3 linked regions of the Nothobranchius furzeri genome follow. The protein of the gene in region 1 interacts with the protein of each later gene in a pairwise test. Links are inferred from orthologs where the notes say so. Each region holds a gene or a part of one and is shown on either strand. Other genes may lie near its edges.

The links.
Region 2: the proteins of klhl42 (region 1) and stxbp4 interact in a two-hybrid assay, tested with the Homo sapiens proteins (2 studies listed by BioGRID and IntAct). The two-hybrid records come from large-scale screens. The link is inferred for Nothobranchius furzeri from reciprocal best matches to the Homo sapiens genes KLHL42 and STXBP4.
Region 3: the proteins of klhl42 (region 1) and trim23 interact in binary tests that used the Homo sapiens proteins (3 or more experiments, as listed by UniProt). The two-hybrid records come from large-scale screens. The link is inferred for Nothobranchius furzeri from reciprocal best matches to the Homo sapiens genes KLHL42 and TRIM23.

What each region holds. Positions count from the first base shown.
Region 1 is NC_091741.1:34,812,445-34,816,198, reverse strand, and holds the start of klhl42 (kelch-like protein 42), read left to right. Parts: upstream 1-1,490; 5' UTR 1,491-1,696; coding exon 1,697-2,457; intron 2,458-2,531; coding exon 2,532-2,725; intron 2,726-3,754. UniProt on the Homo sapiens protein: Substrate-specific adapter of a BCR (BTB-CUL3-RBX1) E3 ubiquitin-protein ligase complex required for mitotic progression and cytokinesis. The BCR(KLHL42) E3 ubiquitin ligase complex mediates the ubiquitination and subsequent degradation of KATNA1.
Region 2 is NC_091756.1:51,700,196-51,703,949, reverse strand, and holds the start of stxbp4 (syntaxin-binding protein 4), read left to right. Parts: upstream 1-1,379; 5' UTR 1,380-1,659; coding exon 1,660-1,715; intron 1,716-3,754. UniProt on the Homo sapiens protein: Plays a role in the translocation of transport vesicles from the cytoplasm to the plasma membrane. Inhibits the translocation of SLC2A4 from intracellular vesicles to the plasma membrane by STX4A binding and preventing the interaction between STX4A and VAMP2.
Region 3 is NC_091746.1:63,277,168-63,280,399, forward strand, and holds part of trim23 (E3 ubiquitin-protein ligase TRIM23), read right to left. Parts: intron 2,540-3,232; coding exon 2,405-2,539; intron 1,804-2,404; coding exon 1,674-1,803; intron 1,592-1,673; coding exon 1,481-1,591; intron 1-1,480.

The sequences.
Region 1 (3,754 bases):
GTGAGGTGAAATCACCGCAGCACCGCGCAGCACAGGTGATGAGCTGCGCAGCAGCAGAGCGCTTCAGGCACAAATAAGACAGAAAATAGAGAATATGTGCGGACATGAACGATCGTGTGCTAATTATAGTTTTTTGGTTGCGCCACTTTGAGAATGGACCGTGCGCTGGACGCAGCTGCCTGGATCGCTGCGCAATAACGCGCTGTGCCGCTCTTTGTGCTCTCTGCTCAGAAGAGTCCATAAATGATGTAATATAGATAGAAAACTTGTTTCCGGCTCCCCTGGATGTGTAAGATATACAGCTCCCCCATAATTCGATCCCTGCTCCTGGATGAAAAGCCGGACATTTTCATCAATACAAGAACCCGCAGTCCGGACGCCCGGACAGAGAGTGAAAAGTGGACATGTCCGGGGAAAACCGGACATACGGTCACCCTAGTTTAATATAATGCGGGAGATTACAGACATGCCTACAGTATTTTGCTCGTGCGCTTGCTGGCCTGGGCCCTTCGTGGGCCCTGGTCAATTGCCCAGTTGCCCATATGGTTAATCCGGCCTTGGCTGCATCTGTTTCCAACGCTTTCCTCTTTTTAATTCTTGCCTTCTCCGCGCCACCCTTGCTCTTTCTACTTTCCATCTTTCCGTCAACTGCGTGGTCACGTGGTGCGCACAGGCGCATACTGGGGAAAAAAAACGAGCTGCAGCCTGCAGGTAGAGCCAGCCAGAGACAGCCGGGAGGAGCGTATGTGATCAGCCCGGCGGCCTCAGTGCCATGACTGAACACCGGCACCAAAAAATAAAAATAAAATGATAAAAAACAAAAACGAGAGCACCGGCCCCATGCGGCCCAAACATCGCGCGGCCCACCGGGAATTCTCCAGACCCTCCCGATTAGCCACTCCGGGCCTGCACCTGTACTATAATTAGTTCTTTTTGGAATGTTTTTTGCCAAGTCAGGTCCCACATTAGAAAAAAAACTGTTAAATTCATTTACTATTTTACTGGTTTCACTCATTTCAGACTGTCCGTTTTCAAAATAATTCGGAACAGCTGAAGCTATTTTATTTCTTAATTTTAAATATTATAGGTTTACTTGAGTAATTTTATGTATACATTTTTTATATTTTGTGCACAAAATAAAATTATATATATATATATATATATAATTATTTTATTTTATTTTATTTTGTGCACAATAGGTGAATTTTGTTTCTTTTGTTTGTTTATTCTTGTTTCCAGGAAATGAAATAAAATAGTTTTTAAAATGAATCCGATTAGACGCCATTCTAGGACTGACCTGCAGGTGGCAGTAGGGCGGATGAGCAGCTCGACTCAACCGTATTTACACGAAGAAGCGCAGAATCAAAACACTGGAAATTTGACAGTCCGTTCCCACAAGGGTCTTGTGAAATTCTTGTTAAAAGAGCCGCTATCAAGGTCTAAAATAAACTGCAACATGTAGTTGACATATTTATAAACTAGATCCACTTTTCGACCGAACTGTCGAGGAATGCTAACCCGAGGAAAGAGCCGCTTTGGCGGGTTTGTCGGTGCAGCAGCTTGTTAGCTGATTAGCTTCTCTGGATGAGAGGAGCAGCTCCGTTTGGATTTATGGGCTGAACATGACCATATATAGCCCGGCCACGGAGCTCCTGCGCTGGTGAACTGTAAAGTCTTTCTGGAAGCTGTCTCCAACATGTCCTCAGACCAAATCGCCATCGTGGTGGACGACAGGACCTACGAGGTGAACAAAAATAAGTTGATCGAGAAAAGCGATTATTTCCGAGCGCTTTACAACTCCGGGATGAGGGAGTCTACTGAGGACTCTGTGCAGCTCCAGGGGCTCAGCGTTACGGGCCTGGAGCTGGTTCTGGAGTTCATCAACACCTCCAAAGTCCAGGTGGTCAATGAGACCCTGGAAGATCTGATAGAGACCGCCTCCTTTCTACAAGTCACCTCCATCCTCAAGCTGCTGACCTCAGAGATCCGGCTGGACAACTGCGTGGAGCTCTACAGCCTCTCTGAAGTCTACGGTACTCATGACCTGCGAACCGCCTGTCTGAAGTACATGAGCTGCTACTATCACCCCATGCTGAGGCGGCCTGAGTTCAGTAGCCTGCTTTCCGCTGTCAGGGACCAGGTCAAAGAGATGCGCATGAAAGGGACCGCCACCCTGGTGGCCATCGGAGACTTTACCTGTCTGTCGCTGGACGGTCCTGATCAGGACGAGCCCTGGTCCATGCTGAGGTATGGAGAGGTGGAGCAGCGCTGGAAACCACTGGCCAACAACCTGCCCCCAGACATGGTTAACGTGAGAGGGTATGGGTCTGCTGTCCTGGACAACTACCTGTTCATAGTGGGGGGGTACAGGACGACCAGTCAGGAGATCTCTGCTGTGCACTGCTACAACCCCTGCAGGAACGAGTGGAACCAGGTGGCTCCGCTCAATCAGAAGAGGTACATTTTCCTCCCACAGTCCCCGACTGTTGTTTCTGCCCTGTTTCATTCACCCTCTGTGTCATCTCATCCAGGTCCAACTTCAAGCTGCTGGCAGTGCAAGGGAAGCTGTTTGCCGTGGGAGGCCAGTGTCTCGGCACTGTGGAGTGTTACAGTCCAGAACAGGACTGGTGGACGTGTGTGTCTTCGATGCCTGACCCGCTGGCTGAGTTCTCGGCCTGTGAGTGCCGGGGTTTGATCTACGTCATGGGTGGATACACTGCCAGAGGTGGGAAGCTTAGTGTCGCCTGCTGAATGTTGTCACGTACTCCTGAAACAGCGAATGAATGAAAGAAAGTATGAAAATTATGTCACTCATCTGCAGTATCCAAAGTAATTTTGTAAGTCTAATCAATTAAAGTAGAAACACTTCAAATGGCATGTAGTTGTAGAGCGCCCTCCTGGGGTCCCCCCCCCCCCCCCCAACCCCCCAGGCACTTTACAACACAATCACACGCTGGTGATGAGGAGCCACAGCTGCCCCGGGGCGAGCTGACAGAGGCGAGGCCTGCCAAACACAGGCGCCACCGGCCCCTCCGACCACCACCAGCAGCAAGGCAGGTTAAGTGTCTTGCCCAAGGACACAACAGCAGCATTCTCTAGTGGGAGCTGGGATCAAACTGGCAACCTTCCGTTTACTGAACAACCTCCTGAGCTACTGCTGACACGAGGTTGTGGCTGAATTAATATCACTTTGTACGTCTTTGTCAGTAATGACCCTAAAATAGGTTGCAGGTATATTTATATTTGACGGCTCTTGGAGCGTTAATCTGTCAGAACTCGGCCTGAAAAGATCAATCAATCAAATTTTATTTGTAGAGCACCTTCCACAACGTTATCGGAAGCCCAAGGTGCTGAACAGCATCATCATAAGAAAAACATTCCCAGTACATGGGCATAAAAGCAAGATAAAATCATAAAATCATAAAATATCAAGCAAGCACTATTACAAATAAAGAGAGATAACGGAAATAAGACGAATCGATCAAAAACAAATGGTGGACAAAATAAAATCAAGCATCTGGGTTAAAAAGAAGAAGAATTAAAACCATAATGTCAGGGCAATTCAAAGAACCCTAGCGCTAAAATGCAATCAGATAAAAATGAGTCTTTAAACGAGACTTAAAGACGTGAAGGGATGGTGCCTGCCTAATGCTCAGTGGCAATTCGTTCCACAGAGTTGGAGCCAGATCAGAAAAAGCACGACAACCCCTCGATCGATATTTCGACCGGGGGACCACCAGAAGTTCCTGCTCGG
Region 2 (3,754 bases), on another chromosome or scaffold:
GGAGGTGGGAGCCGAGCAAACGGATGTAGCCACCTAGCTACAACCAGAGCTAACTCTGTGGAACACCCATCGAACGCATGGAGTTCAGGTGGAGGTTTGCGGCACTTTTTCATGAGAAGTACCTTTCTGTGAATAAAAATATATCAAATCGGTAAGTTTATAAGTTATTTCCTTAATGAAAATATATTTTTCTTTGAGCAAGTTTTCACTATTTTTCACGTACCGTATTTTCAGGACTATTAAGTAGCTCGTCGCACCAGAAATCAGAAACACTCTGAAACTTTTCTGATGATTTTCTGAACTATTCTGCCGGGGAATTATATGTTTCTGAGACGAGTCACTGTCTAAACATCAAATGCATTACTATCATTAAGCAGCAGGTGTGTTGAAGCTGTCATCCGCTTAGGGGCAGATAAGTGTATCAGGGGCAGCGAGGAACGAGAAAGTTGTGATCAGGCTGGAGATCACACCAGATTCGCTGCTGCAGGCGTGAATCTGCAGCATCCCCTTCTTAACGTGACAGCAGGACTTCCCATATAAGGAAGGTCTGCTCACCTGTTAGTCAGATCATTATTTCCTCGCCATGAACTTTTATCTTCCCATCATCCTCCAGTCATCCAACTGGAACCAGTTAGTGTTCCTGATCATTCTCAGAATATGTCACGCCTGCTCTGGTGTTAAAAGTTAGTACATTTAAGTCCTAGATCATATTTGTGCCTGCTCTACTGTAATTTTGAAGGATTATTATTTATATGTGTTTTTTTTTACTGCATTATGAGTAGAAATGCTAATAAAAACTCCCAATTAAACAAACAAGTGAAACTGGAAAAATTAGAATCTGGTGCAAAGTCAAATTTATTTCAGTAATTCAACTAGACAGAGAGACTATTTAAAGGCTCAGGATCCCTTTGCAGGTGTTTTCTATTTGTAATTATAAATTTTAGTTGATTTGGGTCTTGTTTCATATCACACAGTGACATTTGAATAATTAAAATGCATTATTTTTTATTAAAAGCTTTAGTTTACAGTAATAACCTTGTCTAATGTTTGATTCTCTGTCTCATAATTTTCATTAAAAGTTTTGCTTTGAGAGCACATTTTCCTGAACGATTAAAATGCGATTAATTTAGATTAATTACTTACAAAGCCTCTAATGAATTAGATTAAAATTTTTAATCAAGTCCCAGCGCTAGTTTTAATCTCATGAACCTCCACCAGCACGACTCTCAGCCTGGTTTTGTGTCAGACAAATAAAAACTGACTTGGCTTTTTAAACACTTTAAGCTGCGCCGTGTCTCAGCTGAAAGAAAAACGAAGCTTTTCTTCAAAATTCATCCTCTGCAGTGTGTGTGTGTGTGTGTGTGTGTGTGTGTGTGTGTGTGTGTGTGTGTGTGCGTGCGCGCGCGTGTGTGTGTGACGGACGGGTATCAGGATGGATTAGCGGGTAAAGGTAAGCGCGCGTCTCCCTGTCGGGGCGGATTTCCATCCCTCTCCGCTCTGCTCGGCGCACCGACCCGATTTGAACCTCCACCGCTGTCTCCTCTCATCCCTTCTCTCAACCTTCTGCGACAGCCTCTCGCGAGCGCGCGTGTGTGTGAGAGAGTCCCTGTTTTATGTGTGTGTTGGCATTTTTCCTGCGCTAACAGACACCGGGGTGCGATGCCATTCCTCCCTCAGGACGCGGAGCGCTTCGATGGGTTGTCTCTGCTTTACTGGTGAGTTTATTCCTCCTCCTCCACCTCCCCCCCCCTCACCACCTCCGCTCCGGGTATGTCTCTAGAACAGGGGGTCCAGACTCCTCGGGATACGTCCCCGGGCTTGTTTTTGTCCTCCATGTGGGTCACGGAGCTCAGAGGTAGATTTACATCCCGGTAGCGACAGATGCCTCGGAGTTTAAGTCCGCATGCTTGTGCGCGTTCTGGGTCACGCACGTTTTAAAGGACAACTATATATCCCGCATCTATTTTCATTCCACAGGGAATCAGTCGTCCCTCCGTGTTTTCAAATCGAGCCTATTTATGGCACTGATTAGGTCCTTGTCTGACATTTATGTTTTAGTGAATTATTAGAGACTGCAGGAGACATGAGGCTTGATCTTGGCTGTCAGTCATTTGTTTCCTTTGATTTTATTCATCATTCCTTCTCACCAGAAATTACCTACAAATGTCAGAAAACTAAATCTCACAGTTGAATATTTTTCTTTTAAAAAGGTAAAAACCTAAAACCAGAGAATGTAATATTAAAATATTAAATTAACCGGGATCACCTCAGTGCAGCCGTTTCTGTTTAAATCAGGGTCAGTTTCAGTTAGCACTATTTACTCTAAACCAGATTGTTATCTGGAGTCTGACACAAAACATTTGTTCCCCTCAATAATAATTTTCTATCAAAAGAAAAAAGTGGACACTTTTCACAGAAATGCATTTTAGATTTGAATTCATGGGACTGGATCTTCATAAACCCACCATGCTGATAAAATAAGTCAGTCTTTGTCTGGGTCTAGCCCCGACAAATAAAACAAATTAACATAAAGAAAACACAGCTGACAGCAGAACAAATAAATAAACACAATCTGGAAGCATTTTTTAACCCTTGAAATTTTTTGAAAAAAAAAATCACATTGGCTATGTTTGCTGGTCATTTTGACCCACCCAGTCTAAATTCACTTAGAACTGTAAAAAAACTGCAATAAAACAACAGGAACTTTATTTTCCATTAGAAAAAAAAACATTTAAAACACAGACATACAATAAAGTTTGAATATCCAGAACTATTTATAAGAACTAGTTAGTAAAAGTTTTCCTTCTTTACAAACACTTTTCTTTTTCTCAGATTGTCAATGTTCAACATTTTCAGTGTTGTCCATATGATGGACAGAGTGTAACTGTGTGCTTTCTGCAAATGTACTTCTTGCACTTCTCACAAACGGTGCTTGTTTTAATGTCTTCTCGTGAGGGACACACCTGGCATCTTTTTCGTTTCTTTGCACCTGTATCCACTGGATCCATTGTAGATTGGTCAGATGATGCAGACCTGACCTTTTCAATGATAGCTGCTGCTGCTGGGGATCGAGCTGGTCTGGCTCGCCTCTGGATCTCGGGGGTGACAAGACTTTTGCCCAGATCTTCCAGGAAAAGCCGACGTCAGTACAGTTTGCCGACATTCCAATGTTGGTTGATTTCAGTCCACAGGACAAAGGCATTATAAGCTGACACATCCACAGTGTTGTAGAAAATCACCAAGGGCCAACGAGCTGTTTTGCGCTGGCAGCTGTATGTTGCTGTGACTTTGTCAAGATTGTCTACTCCTCCTTTGGTGGAGTTGTAGTCCAGGATCATTTGTGGTTTTTTTGTCTTCTCTTGTGCTCAGAGATGCATCTGTGTGCATTGTGCTCATGACAAGAACCTTTTAGTTTTTCTTTGGGCAGTATGAAACAACTGTTGCTTTCTCGGTGAAAACAAATTTTGAGGAATGTGGAGGTCTTCCTTGCATCTTCAGAATTTTACTGGGAAGTTCTGGTTCCATTTACATTTACACTTCATCAGCAACACATATTCTAATATTCACACATCTGAACAAATCCCACAAGAATTCCCTTTATAATGTGACCAAAAGTAATGAAAAAGACCTTGTGGTTACAGGAATATAAAGTGTGGATATTTGTTTTTATTTTGCCATCAAATGGTTTGTTACATTTACTTACTGTTTTATAAGAACATATTAGGAATGTATCGTTAAACAAAGTAGTCAAAAG
Region 3 (3,232 bases), on another chromosome or scaffold:
TACGCCAACATCATACACAAAAAATGCTGAAAACTAACTAGAAATTCACGAAAATTTTATAGAAATAAAATAATCTTGTTTATTGTCTTTGGTAATTTAAAACCTTTGGAAACTTTATTTAAGGATTATTTGTCATTTTTAAGGATTTTTAGGGCCTTAACTCATTCACTGCCATTGACGACTAAAGTAGCCATTTTAAATCCAACCGTTCACTGCCAATGACGACTTAAGTCGTCATTTGCATGTTTTTACTGTGCGGGCGTCGGAACGAGCCCCCACGTCGTGAGAACAAACATCCTAGCTCTGAAGCCGATCTTCATCCGCATACGTCACACGTCACGTGATCAGGAAGCAGAAAATCCGTGTGTTAGGAGATCGTTTTGGGCCGCTGTTGTAAAAAAAAGTGAGGCGTGGACCGGAAAAGCTTCTGCCGATCACAATTCAACAACGGATTATGAAAGAACAGATAATGCTCAAAACGCGCGGATTCTTCCTGAAGTAAGAGGTGTCTCCGCTTTGTTTTAGTTGTTTTGGCGTCAACATTATCCTAGCGCAACGTTCTGTCACTCTTAAAAAAACAGTAAAAACTGCGAGAAACGCTGGCAGCGAATGAGTTAAATGTGGAAAAGCAAATGTAAGACTTTTTAAGGACCTGCAGATACCCTGCCGGAAGAACGAATAAATGAATGCAAGTCAACGGGGCTAAAAACGCTATTTTCCAATCCGTTTTGCCTTACGCCCTGGATCGCACACATGTTATACTGCAATTTAAATGAAAAGTAATGATGGGTGTTTTGACCCCGCCAGTCACGTACTTTAATTTATTTACTTTGAGATTTATTAGCTTGTAAAAGTTTGTAATTAGCATCACTACAAACCAGAAATTGTCATGTTGCATATGTGACATCAACGCAGAATCTCCTCTCCCCAAAGTAACTGCTACTTACCAAATGACCAGATTCATGGTGGTTCTTTCCTCCTGTGGGAAGTTTGCTGAACTTACAGACCTTTTCCCTCAGTTTTCTCCATGTCTGGTTAGATGACGTCACTTTCATGAGGCGCATTTGTATTCCCATACTCATTTTCACACAAAACCTAAAATAGCGTTCCCCCATTTGAAAATAAGGGCGTTCTTGGTATGATGTCTGTGAATTTCAAAGACACACTTTGATCTGTGAAATCCATGGCGCAAAACAAGCGGGATTAGGAAATAGCGTTTTTAGCCCCGTTGACTTGCATAAATTTTTTTGTTAATCTGGAGACCCATGGTGTGGAAGAAGGTGGGTGTGCCTTCGGCTCCCTATTGGTACACGTCTCTGCCGAACTGAATGTTCCTTACTGAAAACTCCAAATCTGAATACATGTACTATTACACCCCAGATGTTTTTTGTACAACAAATGCTCCACAATATGAACATGTCATTATATCACCTAAACCACGACTAAACTAAAAAGAAATGCCAAGCAGAACAGAACATACCTTGAGTGTTCAGATAATAGTGTTTCCAAAGGGGTCGGAGTTTATGTTTTCCTCCTACATCCCAGATGGTGAATTTCAAGTTCTTATATTCTACAGTCTCCACATTAAAACCTTGAAACAGACCAGAAACAAGCTGGATTTAGGACAACATTTACTTGATCATACCGCCAGCCGATAAACCAAAACCCTTTACCTATAGTTGGGATGGGCTGCATGAACTCATCTTGCTTCAGCTTGAAGAGGATGGTGGTTTTCCCTGCTCCATCAAGTCCAAGAGTCACAACACGGATCTCCATTTTTGGACCAATGTGGACTCTATTATCCTAAAGAACAAAAGCAAGTTTTTAGAACTTTCATCTTTTTGTTCAATTCCGAGAGAACAGTAGGCCTAAGTAGTGGTGAAGAGGGAGCTGAGCCAGAAAGCCAGGCTCTCGATTTACCGGTCAATCTACATCTCAATCCTCACCTATGGTCATGAGCTTTGGGTAATGACCGAAAGAATGAGATCGCGGATACAAGCGGCCGAAATGAGTTTCCTCCGTAGGGTGGCCGGGCTCAGCCTTAGAGATAGGGTGAGGAGCTCGGACATTCGGGAGGGACTCGGAGTAGAACCGCTGCTCCTCCGGATCGAAAGGAGTCAGTTGAGGTGGTTTGGGCATCTGGTCAGGATGCCTCCTGGACGCCTCCCTGGGGAGGTGTTTTGGGCATGTCCTGCCAGCAGGAGGCCCCCAGGTCGACCCAGGACACGTTGGAGAGGTTACATCTCCAATCTGGTCCGGGAACGCCTTGGTTTCCTGCCGGAGGAACTGGTGGAGGTGGCTGGGGTGAGGACTGTCTGGAGCTCCCTAGTTGGGATGCTGCCCCCGCGACCCGGACCCGGATAAGCGGAGGAAGACGACGATAGTAGGCGGGGGTGGTTTGTACCTTAGTGAAGGTGACTGGGATGCCTGCATCCAGCTGAATGTGATCTGCGAGCTCAGTGAACTGGTGCTGCTGCTTCTGAAGTGTCTCCAGCAAACAGTTGATCTCCTGCTTTGCCAGCACAACTCTGCAGTCGTCCTACACCAAGAAAGAAGCAACACACATCAGACACCCTTACATACACACGAGCTTAAAGGTTTCATTCAGTTTAGAATAAATCTGCTGTGGTCTCTATAGGCAAGGCAGCTTTATTTGGCAAATGCAAATCAAAGTGTTTTACAGAAGTAAGAAGAGCAAACAGAAAATCAAACAAAGAAATGTAGACATTAAATTCAGATTTAACAAACAGATAAAAGGCATAGTCAAAAGGTTAGCAGTTACAGAGCAGAATGTGCAGCATAACAAACATTTATTCATAGGCTGATGAATACATGAAGGTATTTCATTTTGATTTAAAAGTCATTAGATTTGGGACACATTTGAGGTCATGAGGAAGCTAATTCCATCTGTGTGCAGTAGCGATGGGTGCCGAATTCGGTACTTTTTAAGGTACCGACCGAATTCCATAGTACCGACTGAGCACCGATTCATGCCATTTGAAACGGTGCCTCGTTTTGGTACCCGTCCTTCATAACGAGAACTTGCCTAGACAGCTGTGCATGCGCAAGAGCGTTTCGTTGGTCACTGCGAGCCAGTTGTAAGCAGAGCAGCATGGTAGAAAGAAAGCCCACTAAAGCTTGGGTCCACTTCACTAAATGTGATGGGTAACTGGGTGATGATGAAACCAACGACAACGATCTAAGTGAGACATCCTCATCTTAATCTGCTCCG